Oryctolagus cuniculus: one gene and its partners. The protein of the gene in region 3 interacts with the protein of the main gene of each other region in a pairwise test. Links are inferred from orthologs where the notes say so. Each region holds a gene or a part of one and is shown on either strand. Other genes may lie near its edges.

Region 1 (4,261 bases), on a different chromosome or scaffold from region 3:
ATGCCCCCCCCCATCCTCTGAGCCCTGGGGCCCACCCAGTCCCTCCTTTTTCCCTGCCAAGTAGCAGTATCTCTCTCTCTCTCTCTCTCTCTCTCTCTCTCTCTCTCTCTAATCATTTGAAAGGCTGAGCAAGAGAGACAGAGAAACAGGCACAGACACAGAGAGATCTGGGGCTGACTGGCTCACTCCCCAAATGTACCCAGCAGCGGGGCTGGGCCAGGGTGCTGTCAGGAGCCAGAAATTCAATCCAGGTCTCCCACGTGAGTGCTGGGGACCCAAGGACTTGAGCCATTACTTGCTGCCTCCCAAGGTGCACATCTCGGAACCTGGGATCTGAAGCAAAGCTGGACCTCCATCTCAGACACTCTAGTGTGGATGCGGGGGTCCCAAGTGGCCCTTAAGGCTGTGCCAAGCACCTGCCCCAAAGTCCTAAGCCCTCTTCTGCGGGTGAGGCTCCCGGGGCTAGAGAGGCGGAATAACCTGTTCAGGGCCACACAGCTTTGCCCTAGACTGCAACAGCGATTGGTGGATAGGATCGTGGGACTCTCCCGCGGCCTCTCCTTTGGCGGATCCCCGTCAGCTACAGGAGGTAGCTGCCGCCTCCGGCTCACGGCCAGGCTGTGCCACACCGCCTCCGTCCCTTCGCTCCCCAGCCCAATCGGTGTGGCGCATGTCGCCTCCGCGGCACATTCAACACGCAGTCCCGCAGTCAACCCCCGCGGCGCGGGCGGCGTGCGGGCCCGTGCCGGGCGCGAGGCCACCGCAGGTGCATCACGCCCGCCCTGGAGGTGAATGAGGTCCTGGCGCTCCTCCGCCCCGGCAGCACTGCTGAAACAACCGACACAACGCTTCTCTTGCAGGAGGGGCAGAGCTACGAGAGACCCGCGAGTTATTTCCAAAACTTATTTTTCATCGCTCCCCGAGATCGGAACATTTCACAGCCGTCATGTCTCACCTCTGCGCGCCGAGCGCTAGCGGCTGCGGAGCCGCAGGGTGAGGGCGGGTCCTGCCGCCCCCACTACCCGGGGACCCCCACCCGGGGCCCCTGTCCCGGGCAGCCCTCCTCCCCCGGCCCCCGCTCCCACCCCTCCACGCGGCAGTCCCCTGCTCAGATCCCAGACAGGCCAGCCCCATTCGCCCCCGCTCCATCCTGGTGTCCCCAGGTCGCCCCCTCCCCAGCTCGGTTCTTCCAGGATCCCCAGCCCCGCCATTGTTCTCCCGGCGACCGCGCCTCTCCGTCGTCCGCTCCGCCCTCCGAGGCGGCGTTCTCATCCCGCAGAGCTCCGCCCTTTTCCCACTCTCTGATTGGCCCCTGCTGCCGGGCCGCGCGGGGCCCGGGCAGGGGAGCCGGCGCGCGCCGCGTCCTCGCCCGTGGCCCCGCCGGGGGTGGGACCTCGTGGGACTCCGCCCCGTCCGGGCGGAGCCGCGCTCGCCAGTGCTCGGAGGCGGGGCGGGGCCGCCTCGGCTCTCCTCGGCCCGGCTCGGGCTGCCGCGCCGGTGGGGGTGGGCGGCGGGGATGACAGCGGCTGTGGCGGCGGCTGCGGCGCGCGGCTGAGCGAGCGGGGAAGAGGAAGTGGAGCCTCGGCCCGAGCTCCGGAGTCAGCTGGCGCGTGGAGCGCGGAGCTGGGGAGACTTCCCCGCCGGCGCCTGCCCTGCCCAGCCCCGGGTTCCGCGCCCAGACGCTCCTTTGCCCGCGGTCCGTGCTTGTGGCCGCGACGCCCGGGCGGGACGCTCCTGGCTCCGCCGTACGGCTCCACGCCTGCGGGTTGGTTGGCAGCCTTCCTACCACTGTGGGTCGGAGCCCCTAGCCCTCCGCCCCGAGATTAGCGCTTGGGTGGCCCCAGCCTCCGGACCTGGGCGCAGAGGAACCCGGACGCCCCCAATCTCGGGACGCCAAAGACCCGACCCTTCAGCTGCCTCGAATCAAGCGCTTCGGACTTGGAGCGCCCGAGAAGCCCCGGGCCGCGTCCAGCGCCCCAGGTGGGGTCCCGGCGGGCAGGACAGTCGGACTGAACCCCCGGACTGGTGCTGCGAGCTGTAGTCGCTGCCTCCCTCCCGCCCTGGGCTGGGGCTCGGGATTCAGCGCTCGCCCGGAGGAGAGCACCGGCTCGTTCCGTCCCGGCCAGAGCCGAGGCTGCAGGTGAGAATCCCTGATGTGGGGCAGGAGCAGTCTCCGACCTCATGGCCGCAGCACCGGGCGCGGCTGAGGGCGTGGGCGGGGGGCACGGGCAGAGGCTGGAACCTGCTCAGAGGGGGAGGGAGAAAACGGGCACTTATTGAGCGCCCATTGTGTGCAGGTCCGAGCCCCGCCCTATGCGCCTCATTGCTATCCCAGCTGGAGAGGTGCTGTGCATTGTCGTGTGGGCACTGACAGATGGGGGAAATTGAGGCTCGGCTGACTGAGCGACCCTGCTTTCTTCACTCGGGGTGGGGGGCAGGGGGAAGAAATCTGGGGAGGAGAGAGAGGAAAGGAAACCAAGGGGGAGGGGAGAAGTGAGAGGGCTGGGTAGCAAGCATGAGGCCGGGCCACCCGGCATCGAGACCTTGGCTTTCCCTGGCCAATCAGCTCCCAGGAAAGGCCACCCAGAGTTGAGGGCAGAGGTGGGACACTTGTCTCTGTGTGTCCAGGAAGGAGAGCAGCTGCTCCTGGCTCCTGAGTGCCATGCTCCCAGTCTCTGGACCTCTGTGGGGACACTCCCTGCAGAGCCCAGCAGAGTTGGGGGAGATGGGGTTCACTTTGCTCATGGGGACCCTGAGGCTCATGCAAGCAGGGGTGCCAGTTGCCACAGGTCCTAAAGCCAGTGAGTGGTTGGGCCAGAAACTGTCTCAGACACCCCCCACCCCCCAGTTAGCTTCTTCTGGGTGAGTGGCTGGCATCTGTCCCACCCTGATGTGACATTGGGGTGGCCCTGCGTGAGGCTGCTCTGAGAGTCTGCGTGGTTGGTGCTTGGGCCTGAGACATGTGGGCTGCCTCAGAGCCTATGACCCAGATGGCAGGTCTGACCTCAGTCCCTCCTGGGCAGGGAACCTGCAAGACTTCCCTGGCCCAGGAGCAGGTGGTCTTGCTCAGGTCTCAAGTCTGGGGGCACAGTTCCTGGTGTCTTGATTACCAGGCAGGGGCTCCTGCCACTGCCCTCAGGGGCTGTGCAGGCAGAGGAGTGTTGTGAGAGAGCCCTTGGCATGGACTTGGTAGGCTCTTGTTCTGGGTAGGGAGGCATGGGAATGTGGCCTTGGTCTGGGCCCTGTGGCCTTGGCTGGGACTAGTTAACCCCTGGGGTCAAGGGGAAGCCACCCTGGAAAGCCCCTGGGAGGTGGAGCAGAGTGGTGAGAGGTCAGCTGAAGGCTGGGGGCTCCGGTGTGGGGGCGGGGGCATGGGCTAGGGGAGTCACCAGAGAGGACTAAGGGGCTTGGGGCTCCCCCTCCCCCCGCCCTGTCTGAGGTTAAATCCTCATAATAATCCTGCATCTGAACAAAGCTCCTCTTTGATGAAATAGCTTCCCACCTGTGATCTCATTTCATGGTGTGGTGGGAAGAGCCTGGAAGTGGGAGCGAGGCAGAGCAGGCCTGGGACCTCTCAGTGGCGTCTCTGTGGCCCCAAGTCGCACCTGTAAAATGGGGTCAGGGCAAGCTCAGCTAATGGGGTGGCTGCCTGTAGCAGACTGCCAAGGGCTAGGAGCTTGTTGTGTTTGGCCTTGTTAGTACTGGCTAATCTTGGGTGGGAAACTGAGGCTTGGCAAGGTGAAACCACCTGCCCAGGGCCTTCAAATTTGCTTCGGGAGTGGTTTGAGTGCCAACCGCATACCAGGTGACCTGGCAGTTACCTTGTGGGCTAAGCAGCAGCCTGGAGCTCGCCTAACAGGTGAAGGCAATGCTAAGTCACACCAGGTGGGCGTGAGTCTGCCCCCTCCCCCGCCAGCCCAGTGCAGCGCTCTCCTTGAGCTCCTGTTGCTTCTCTAAAGTTAGAATACTTCCTTTCCCAGGTCAGTGAGGATTAAATGAGATACAGATACACAGTGCCTGGCCAATACCTATTTCCCTCTTCTGAAGAAAAGGAAGCCTGAATTTTGACCAGGAAGTCTGGGGAAGCATTCAGACTTGCCTTAGATTAGAATGCACGCTAAGGTTGCATCTCAGAGATGTGAATCTGTGCAGCTCAGTCTCCTGGGGAGGCAGACTCCTGTCTCCTAGCCTTCTAGAATCTGTCTGGAGCCATTGGCAAGGGGCTTCACATTCTGACACCCACCACTTACCCTGCTGGCTT
Region 2 (4,230 bases), on a different chromosome or scaffold from region 3:
CCCCGTAGGGAGAACATCTGGTGCGTGGTTAAGATGCTGCTCGGAAGCCGGCACCGTGGCTCAATAGGCTAATCCTCCACCTTGCGGCGCCGGCACACCGGGTTCTAGTCCCGGTTGGGGCGCCGGATTCTGTCCCGGTTGCCCCTCTTCCAGGCCAGCTCTCTGCTATGGCCAGGGAGTGCAGTGGAGGATGGCCCAGGTGCTTGGGCCCTGCACCCCATGGGAGACCAGGAAAAAGCACCTGGCTCCTGGCTCCTGCCAGGATCAGCGCGGTGCGCCGGCTGCAGCGGCGGCCATTGGAGGGTGAACCAACGGCAAAGGAAGACCTTTCTCTCTCTGTCTCTCTCTCTCTCACTGTCCACTCTGCCTGTCAAAAAAAAAAAAAAAAAAAAAAAAAGATGCTGCTCGGAACACTCGCTTCCCAAATCACAGTGCCTGGGTCTGAGTCCTGACCCACACTGAGTCCCCTGTCCTGGCTCCTGGCTCTGGCCTGGCCCAGCTCCAACTCTTCTGTACATTTGGGGAGTGAACCAGTGGATCAAAGATCAACTTCTGTGGGTCTGTCTCTGTCTTTCTGCATTCCAAATAAAATGAAAATGAAAAAAAAAATCCTTCCTTCTAGGAAGGGTCAAATCAGGTCCAAGTCATTCCTGCCAAGCTATGAATAGAAATGGCAACCACCCAACCTATGATAAGCAAGGAAGCCAATTTCCATGGTGGCACTCACTAATCCCATTTAGCCACCATGTCCAGAGATGGACCAACATCACAGTGCCTGGTCTTCCACCTCCAGCACCATGCACGGTTCTGGATTTTTTTTCTTTAAAGATTTATTTATTTTGAAAGTTAGAGTTACAGAGAGAGAGAGAGAGAGAGAGAGAGAGAGAGATTTTCCATCCTTTGGTTCACTCCCCAGATGGCTGCAACAGCCAGAGCTGGGCCAGGCCAAGGCCAGGAGCCAGGAGCTTCTTCTGGTTCTCCCACATGGGTGGCAGGGACCCAGGCAGTTGGGCCATCAATCACTGTTTTCCCAGGCCATTAGCAGGGAGCTGGATCAGAAGTCGAACAGTCAGGGCTAGAAATAGCACCTATATGGGATGCCGGTGTCATAGGCAGCTTTACCTGCTACTCCACAATGCCAGCCCTGGGTTTTGGCTTTAAATTAAAAAACAAACACACAACAACAACAAAAAACCTTGAAAGAAATAGGCAGAGAGACAGACAGAGGGGAGTTCCCATTGCTGGTTCATTCCCCAAATGCTGGCAATGGCTGGCCCAGGGCCGGAGCTGGGAGTTGGCTCCTCAATCCAGCCCTGAATTTCTTCTCCAGATGCCCAGGATGTGCTGTACCTTGGCTATTCTGTTCTGGGAAGAAGACTAACCGAAAAAAAGGAAAACGACAGGTTGGCCAGGCGACACAAGACGGGGATAGATCAGTAGAGACAGGAAGAAGAAACAGCATGAACTCAGCTAGAAGAAGGCAGCCATTCTCTACTACGCAAAAGACTCTAGGTAGCTGGTGATACAAAATGCTGAATGTGGGATCTGTCTAAACAGACTCTCCATCCCCTGTCCTAGGTTGAATACTGTGCCCACCTGGATCCTCGGCCAGCCCATAACCTTACTTGGAAAGCGGTCTTTTCAGATGCAGCAAGTTCAATTACAATAGGGTCACACTGGATTAGGGCGGACCCATTCCCAAAGACTGGTGTCCTTGTAAGACCAGAAAGCAGAGACAAAAACACACAGATGGAGCCACGTGGTGACAGAAGCAGAGGCTACAGCGAGGAAGCCCAGCATTGCCAACCACCACCACCACCACCACTTCAGAAGACAGAGGGAAACATTCTCCGCTCCAGCCTGCAGACAGAGCAGGCTCCGCCAGCACCTTGACCTTGGACTCCCAGCCTCCAGAGGGTAAGGGGATCAATGCTGCAGCTAGCAGCCGGCCAGCCTGTGGTACTTTGTTATGGTAGCCTAGGAAACCAACCCACTCCCAATGCCACACCTGTTCCCAAACCACCCTTCCCATACTTGGCCCCGGGGATGACGACTCAGGCCCACCTGTACTTTTCCACCTTCCCAGAGCCCGCCAGCCCTCCGGTCCCAGAGGGGAAGGCCCCGCAGGGATCACATTTCAGCCGCCCCACACCGGCAGGGGAGTTCTTGTTTTCTCCTCAAGGCCTCCCAGTGATATAGGTTCTCAGAATGGGACTGGCATTCATATCCACCCCATATGGTCCTAATTCTGTATTCCTTACATCACCACTTACCTAATATTTCCTCATACCATCACTACGCTTACTTAGATTTATTTTTAAAGCACTGCTACTTCATTGTTCCAATAAATGGTTAGTCAGCATCACTTATCACACGCAGACCTTTCTGTATATATCCATACCTTTAACGTGCTCACCAAAACGAATCCACAATACTTTTTAGAGAAACCACTTAAAATAGTCTTGGCCGGCAATACCACGGGAAATATCGCCTTCGAGGTGAGCTGTCCGCGGGCTCCTACTCAGAAATCCCAATCCAGCTCTCCGATTCTTAATATCACCTCGCACGCCCATCCCCGGGCCCCAGACACTCCGGAGAAGGTAAGAGTCCCGCGTTCCTGAGAATGGAGATCCGAGGGGACTTTAAACCGCGGGTGAGCCGCGCAGAGACGCGAGCGAGGAACTGACCTTCTCTCGAAGGCTGCAGTGGACGTCCGCGGCGACGCGCCCTTCCCACCACGGCTCATCCATCCCCGCGAGCAGCTCTGCGATCCGCGGCTACCGGGCCCTCGGAGCGCTCCCTGCGTGGACACGGGCAACTTCAGCGGCTCCGACGCCCACAGTCCCTATATCCTCGCCGGTCCCCGGCACGGCCCGGACGGGCGCCCCCTCCTGCCCCGCTCCGCGCCCCGGAAAGGTTGCGGTGCCCCCTCCCTTCTGCTCGCTGGACCCCCGATAGATCAAGAGCTGTGCAACAACTTGCAGAATTTTTATCTTCCCTGTGCAAAAGTTGCAGAGAAAGTTGCCTCCTCCGCCCGAAGCTGGGGCTCCTGCGGCGGCCACCCGCTTGCCCGTCCCGAACTCCTCCCCCGCCGCCCAGCCTTTGTCCTGCTCCCACATCCTGCCCTCCAGCCCGGGGCGAGACTCACGCATCCCTCTTCAGGCGTGGGGGGCTGCGGGCACCCAGCCCCTTCCGGGGCTGAGCCGGCTGTGCCCTCTGGCTTGGCTGCACGCGGCTGGACCCCGACCCAGCCCGCTCCGCGCTCTCGCCGGCCGCCTCCACAGCCCGGCTGGCCCCAGCCGCCGCGCCCCTGCGTGCGCTCGGGTCCCGCCGCGGCTCGCAGGATCCCGGCCGCCGGGGGCCTCCCTCCCTCGCTGGGGGAATTGGGGGCCGGGCCTCGCGCATGCGCCAGCAGCGCCCCGCGCCCCGCAGGGCGGGGGGCTGGGACTCCGAGTCTTTCTTTCCGCGGCTCTGGCCGGGCTTCCTGTCCGCCCTCCGCCGTCGCCTCCGCGGAAAGCTTTCTCTCACCTTCGCGGAGACTCGCCGGTGTGGGCGGGGAGTGGGCGGGGGCGCGCGGGGGGGGGGGCAGGGCACGGCTCCACCTGCGCGCACCGCGCGTGAACCACGCGGGAAGGATGCCCCCCAGAAAGTTCTGCCTCGCGCGCGCACCGCTCCAGCCCACGCTTACATTCCACCTGCTTTGCTTTCTTTCTTTCTAGGCTTGTTCTGCCGTGGGAGATGGGATTCCAAAAGGGCCGTTCCCACGAATGCTCCAGAAAAGCCCTGATGGTAAAGGCGCAGAAGTCAGGGGTAGTAGTTGTGCCCCCTGGGAAGTATCGACCCACGCCTTACAGTGGAGGAAAACCCACCAACACCAGGAATGAAAAGCATTGTCTTTTTAATTTGGTTGTTTTCCGAAAGGCGCTTTCTTGAAGCACCCTGCTGAGCGCGCGGCAGGGAGCTCTCCTGGTGTTTGGGATATTTTTGGAGGTTCACTAGCTTGGGATCGAACCCCACCATCACCAGCAGCAGCTGGGTGATTTTTGCCAATCAGAGCCTGGGACCCCTGCGTGTAAACTGGGCATAAAAGTTGCCACAAGCTGCTGGAGATGTTTTATTAAATGATTTAATGCATGTAAAGGGGCAGTCACCATCCTGGGTTTAACCGAAAAACAACCGTTGCCGAACGAAGAGCCTTGATTATCTGACCGATTTCCTCCCACGTGAAGA
Region 3 (2,850 bases):
CAAACTTTCAAAGTATGGTAGCCTCTGACCTAAAATACTGAGTAGCATTCACACATTAGTACAGGACTGCAAAGAACATATCATTTTATTTTCAAATCCCTACCTCTGATAGTAAAATTGTCATATATTTCCCATAAAGAAAATAATCTTCTACCTCAAAAGTTCTCTTCCTGGACAGTTGGAAATTCAACATATGTGGGTGTACCATTTGAACATTAAAGCAGAAGTGTTGTGATAGAAATTGACTTTTCAACCAAGCAGAATTGGAATTTAAACCTATCAGATAATTCAAATTCCATTAAAATAGTTGCTGGAGGGAGGTACTGGATATGTCAACATGAAAAATGGAGTGGGGTGGTTATAATATACCATAATTAAGCATTTTAAAACCATTTTTTCCAGAATTACAAATCTTCAAGTGTCTTTCAAAGTACTCAAACTTAAGAAAATGACACTTATTCTTATGCAATCACTTATATAAAGCATTTTAGAAACTCTCTTTTGGAAACTGACATCAGAACCAATGCAGGAGGCAAAACAAATCCACATGTGAGTCTGTGTATCTTACTTATTTTACCAAGAATGATAGCTTTCAGTTGTAGTATGAGTAATCACGAAACACATAAGTCTGGAATAATCATGTAAAATATCATGTTTTCCAGCTTTCTTTAAGGAGTTTTATGTGGATTTTTTGTTCATACTAGGATCCATAATTTTAATCGAGCCCAACCTCATTATCTATATTTAAGATCTTAAAACACAAACCAGACTTTCTGTTTGAGTTATTTATTAAAGTTAATAAAAAGAGCATTTATTTTTTGAACAAAGATACTTTGCTATGAAGTTAATCTGTACTGGGATTCTGAAATAAAGTGAGCACATTGAAATTTTGTATAGTTGTAGTAGTTTCAGCTTTTCCTGCCATTTAGATTATAGGAGTTTTCACCTCCCTTATAACACTCTTGGTTCCAAGTGACTTCATGTGAGTAATTTCCAAAGAGAACTGGATTTTCTTTCAGATAAAGAAAATTTGCCCCTGTTTAAAAAAATGATACAATTTTTAAAAACAATTCCAAGAGGGGGATTTTAAGAATTTGCCATGGTTATTGTAACTGGAATAAGTTCATAGCCTTCAAAAGTGTCTGTTTTGGTTGGATAATTTAAGAAGAAATCTTATTAAAATCTAGTCACGCAGGCTTCTCAATATATTTAATAAATGGAACGCATTGTAAGGAACATCCAATTTTATCGGAAGTAAGAGCGCTTCTTCCTGCACTCTAATGAAGAGTTCTGATGCAGTCTCATCCAACCAGGAGGAAGAGTCTGTTTACAAAACCCTCACCCTCTAGGGTATATAAAGGGCCAAGGCAAGTGGGGATCAGAATGAAACTTGCATTCAATTCTTTCCCTCAAACACAGCCTGCTCTCAAAACCCTCGCTATGTCTTGCCAGAACTACTCTCGCAACTGCAGCTCAGGCTCCCCCGGAAATTCCTGCCACATCCCTGCCTCCTCCTCCGTTGCCGGCTGCTCTACAAATGTGAGCTGTGGAGATGTCTTCTGCTTACCCAGCAGCTGTCAAGATCGTGCCTGGCTCACGGACAAAAGCCAAGAGACCTACATTGAACCAACCAGCTGCCAGCCAACCAACTGTGTGCCCAGCAACTGCGCAACCTCCTGGAGATCTTCCACTATTTACTATGTGCCCAGACCCAGCCTAGGAACCAGTTTTATTCCTGCTTCTTCCTGTGTCTCCAGCTCCTGCCTCCCAGTATCCTGTAAACCTCCGAGCTATGTGTCCAGCAGTTGCCGTCCGCAGAACACCCTGATCAATACTTGCCAACCTATAGGTAGCGTGCTCAGTGCCTACCGCCCTTTGACCTCTCTGTCCAGCAGCTGCCGACCCCAGAGCCTCCTCACTTATGGATGCCAACCCGTAGGTTACTTGGCCTGTGGTCCTCAAGCAGTTCATATCGTCTCCAGCAGCCCAAGACCTCTGCCGCCTCCATCCAGCGGCTGCCAACCTGTGACCCACGTGTATGGCACATGTCATCCATCTTGCTCTGTCCAGGGAGGCCAGTAGTGTGCTTGTTCCAGCAAATCATCATGCTGAAGACTCAGGATATAAATTCAAACTCCATGGACTTCTGGTTCTTTCTTAGTGGTGTCTGATTGCTGGTTGGGTGTTTCTACTATAGCTGATCTAATGTGATTTACTACTTTCACATTTTCATCTTTCCTTGATGTTAAAAAAATTGGTTTACAATGTGTCTCAATGTTGCCTGAGTGTGGGAAGCATGTATTTGTTCGCACTATAATAAACAAGATCATGTCAAAGCTAAGAATCTGGTTCATTGGTTTTCTTTCATTCCTTCATTCTGACACAGAAATGGTGAACCCAGACTCCTTATAAGATTTGTGAATAAGACAAAGTGCTGTGTAACAATGTGCTCTTACTGATAGTAGAGAGATGATTTGATGGTGTGATTTCTCAAGCTGTTTTTTAGACTTCTGATGCTATGTCCTTGAGAGATCCAGGAATCCTTGGTGGAATGTGTTTTGCAAAGGCAAGATGAGGAATTATATCTTTTAGCTCTCTCTTCCACTGAATATCCTTCCACTGGAATGTTTTTTCTCATTACAAACCTAACCATAAGCTTTTACTTAATCCTTAGATGACATTGTATGATCGATTCCCATAAGGTAAAAGCCCAAATCCCTTACCATGATACTGGATTCCTTCATTGTCTTCCTCCTATTATTTGATTGAATCCCCTTTTGCTGTGTATCAAAAATCCAATTCTGAATTACACATAGATCCCCAACATGATTTTGAAAATCATCCTTTTTG

What was found.
Region 1: the proteins of KRTAP26-1 (region 3) and GDPD5 interact in a two-hybrid assay, tested with the Homo sapiens proteins (2 studies listed by BioGRID and IntAct). The two-hybrid records come from large-scale screens. The link is inferred for Oryctolagus cuniculus from reciprocal best matches to the Homo sapiens genes KRTAP26-1 and GDPD5.
Region 2: the proteins of KRTAP26-1 (region 3) and CCNJL interact in binary tests that used the Homo sapiens proteins (3 or more experiments, as listed by UniProt). The two-hybrid records come from large-scale screens. The link is inferred for Oryctolagus cuniculus from reciprocal best matches to the Homo sapiens genes KRTAP26-1 and CCNJL.

The regions. Positions count from the first base shown.
Region 1 is NC_091432.1:66,621,905-66,626,165, reverse strand, and holds the start of GDPD5 (glycerophosphodiester phosphodiesterase domain-containing protein 5), read left to right. Parts: upstream 1-1,461; 5' UTR 1,462-2,140; intron 2,141-4,261. UniProt on the Homo sapiens protein: Glycerophosphodiester phosphodiesterase that promotes neurite formation and drives spinal motor neuron differentiation.
Region 2 is NC_091437.1:47,211,580-47,215,809, forward strand, and holds the start of CCNJL (cyclin-J-like protein), read right to left. Parts: upstream 2,801-4,230; 5' UTR 2,751-2,800; coding exon 2,688-2,750; exon of another isoform or gene 2,443-2,687; intron 1,918-2,442; exon of another isoform or gene 1,749-1,917; intron 1-1,748.
Region 3 is NC_091435.1:15,091,251-15,094,100, forward strand, and holds KRTAP26-1 (keratin-associated protein 26-1), read left to right. Parts: upstream 1-1,385; 5' UTR 1,386-1,440; coding exon 1,441-2,082; 3' UTR 2,083-2,344; downstream 2,345-2,850. UniProt on the Homo sapiens protein: In the hair cortex, hair keratin intermediate filaments are embedded in an interfilamentous matrix, consisting of hair keratin-associated proteins (KRTAP), which are essential for the formation of a rigid and resistant hair shaft through their extensive disulfide bond cross-linking with abundant cysteine residues of hair keratins.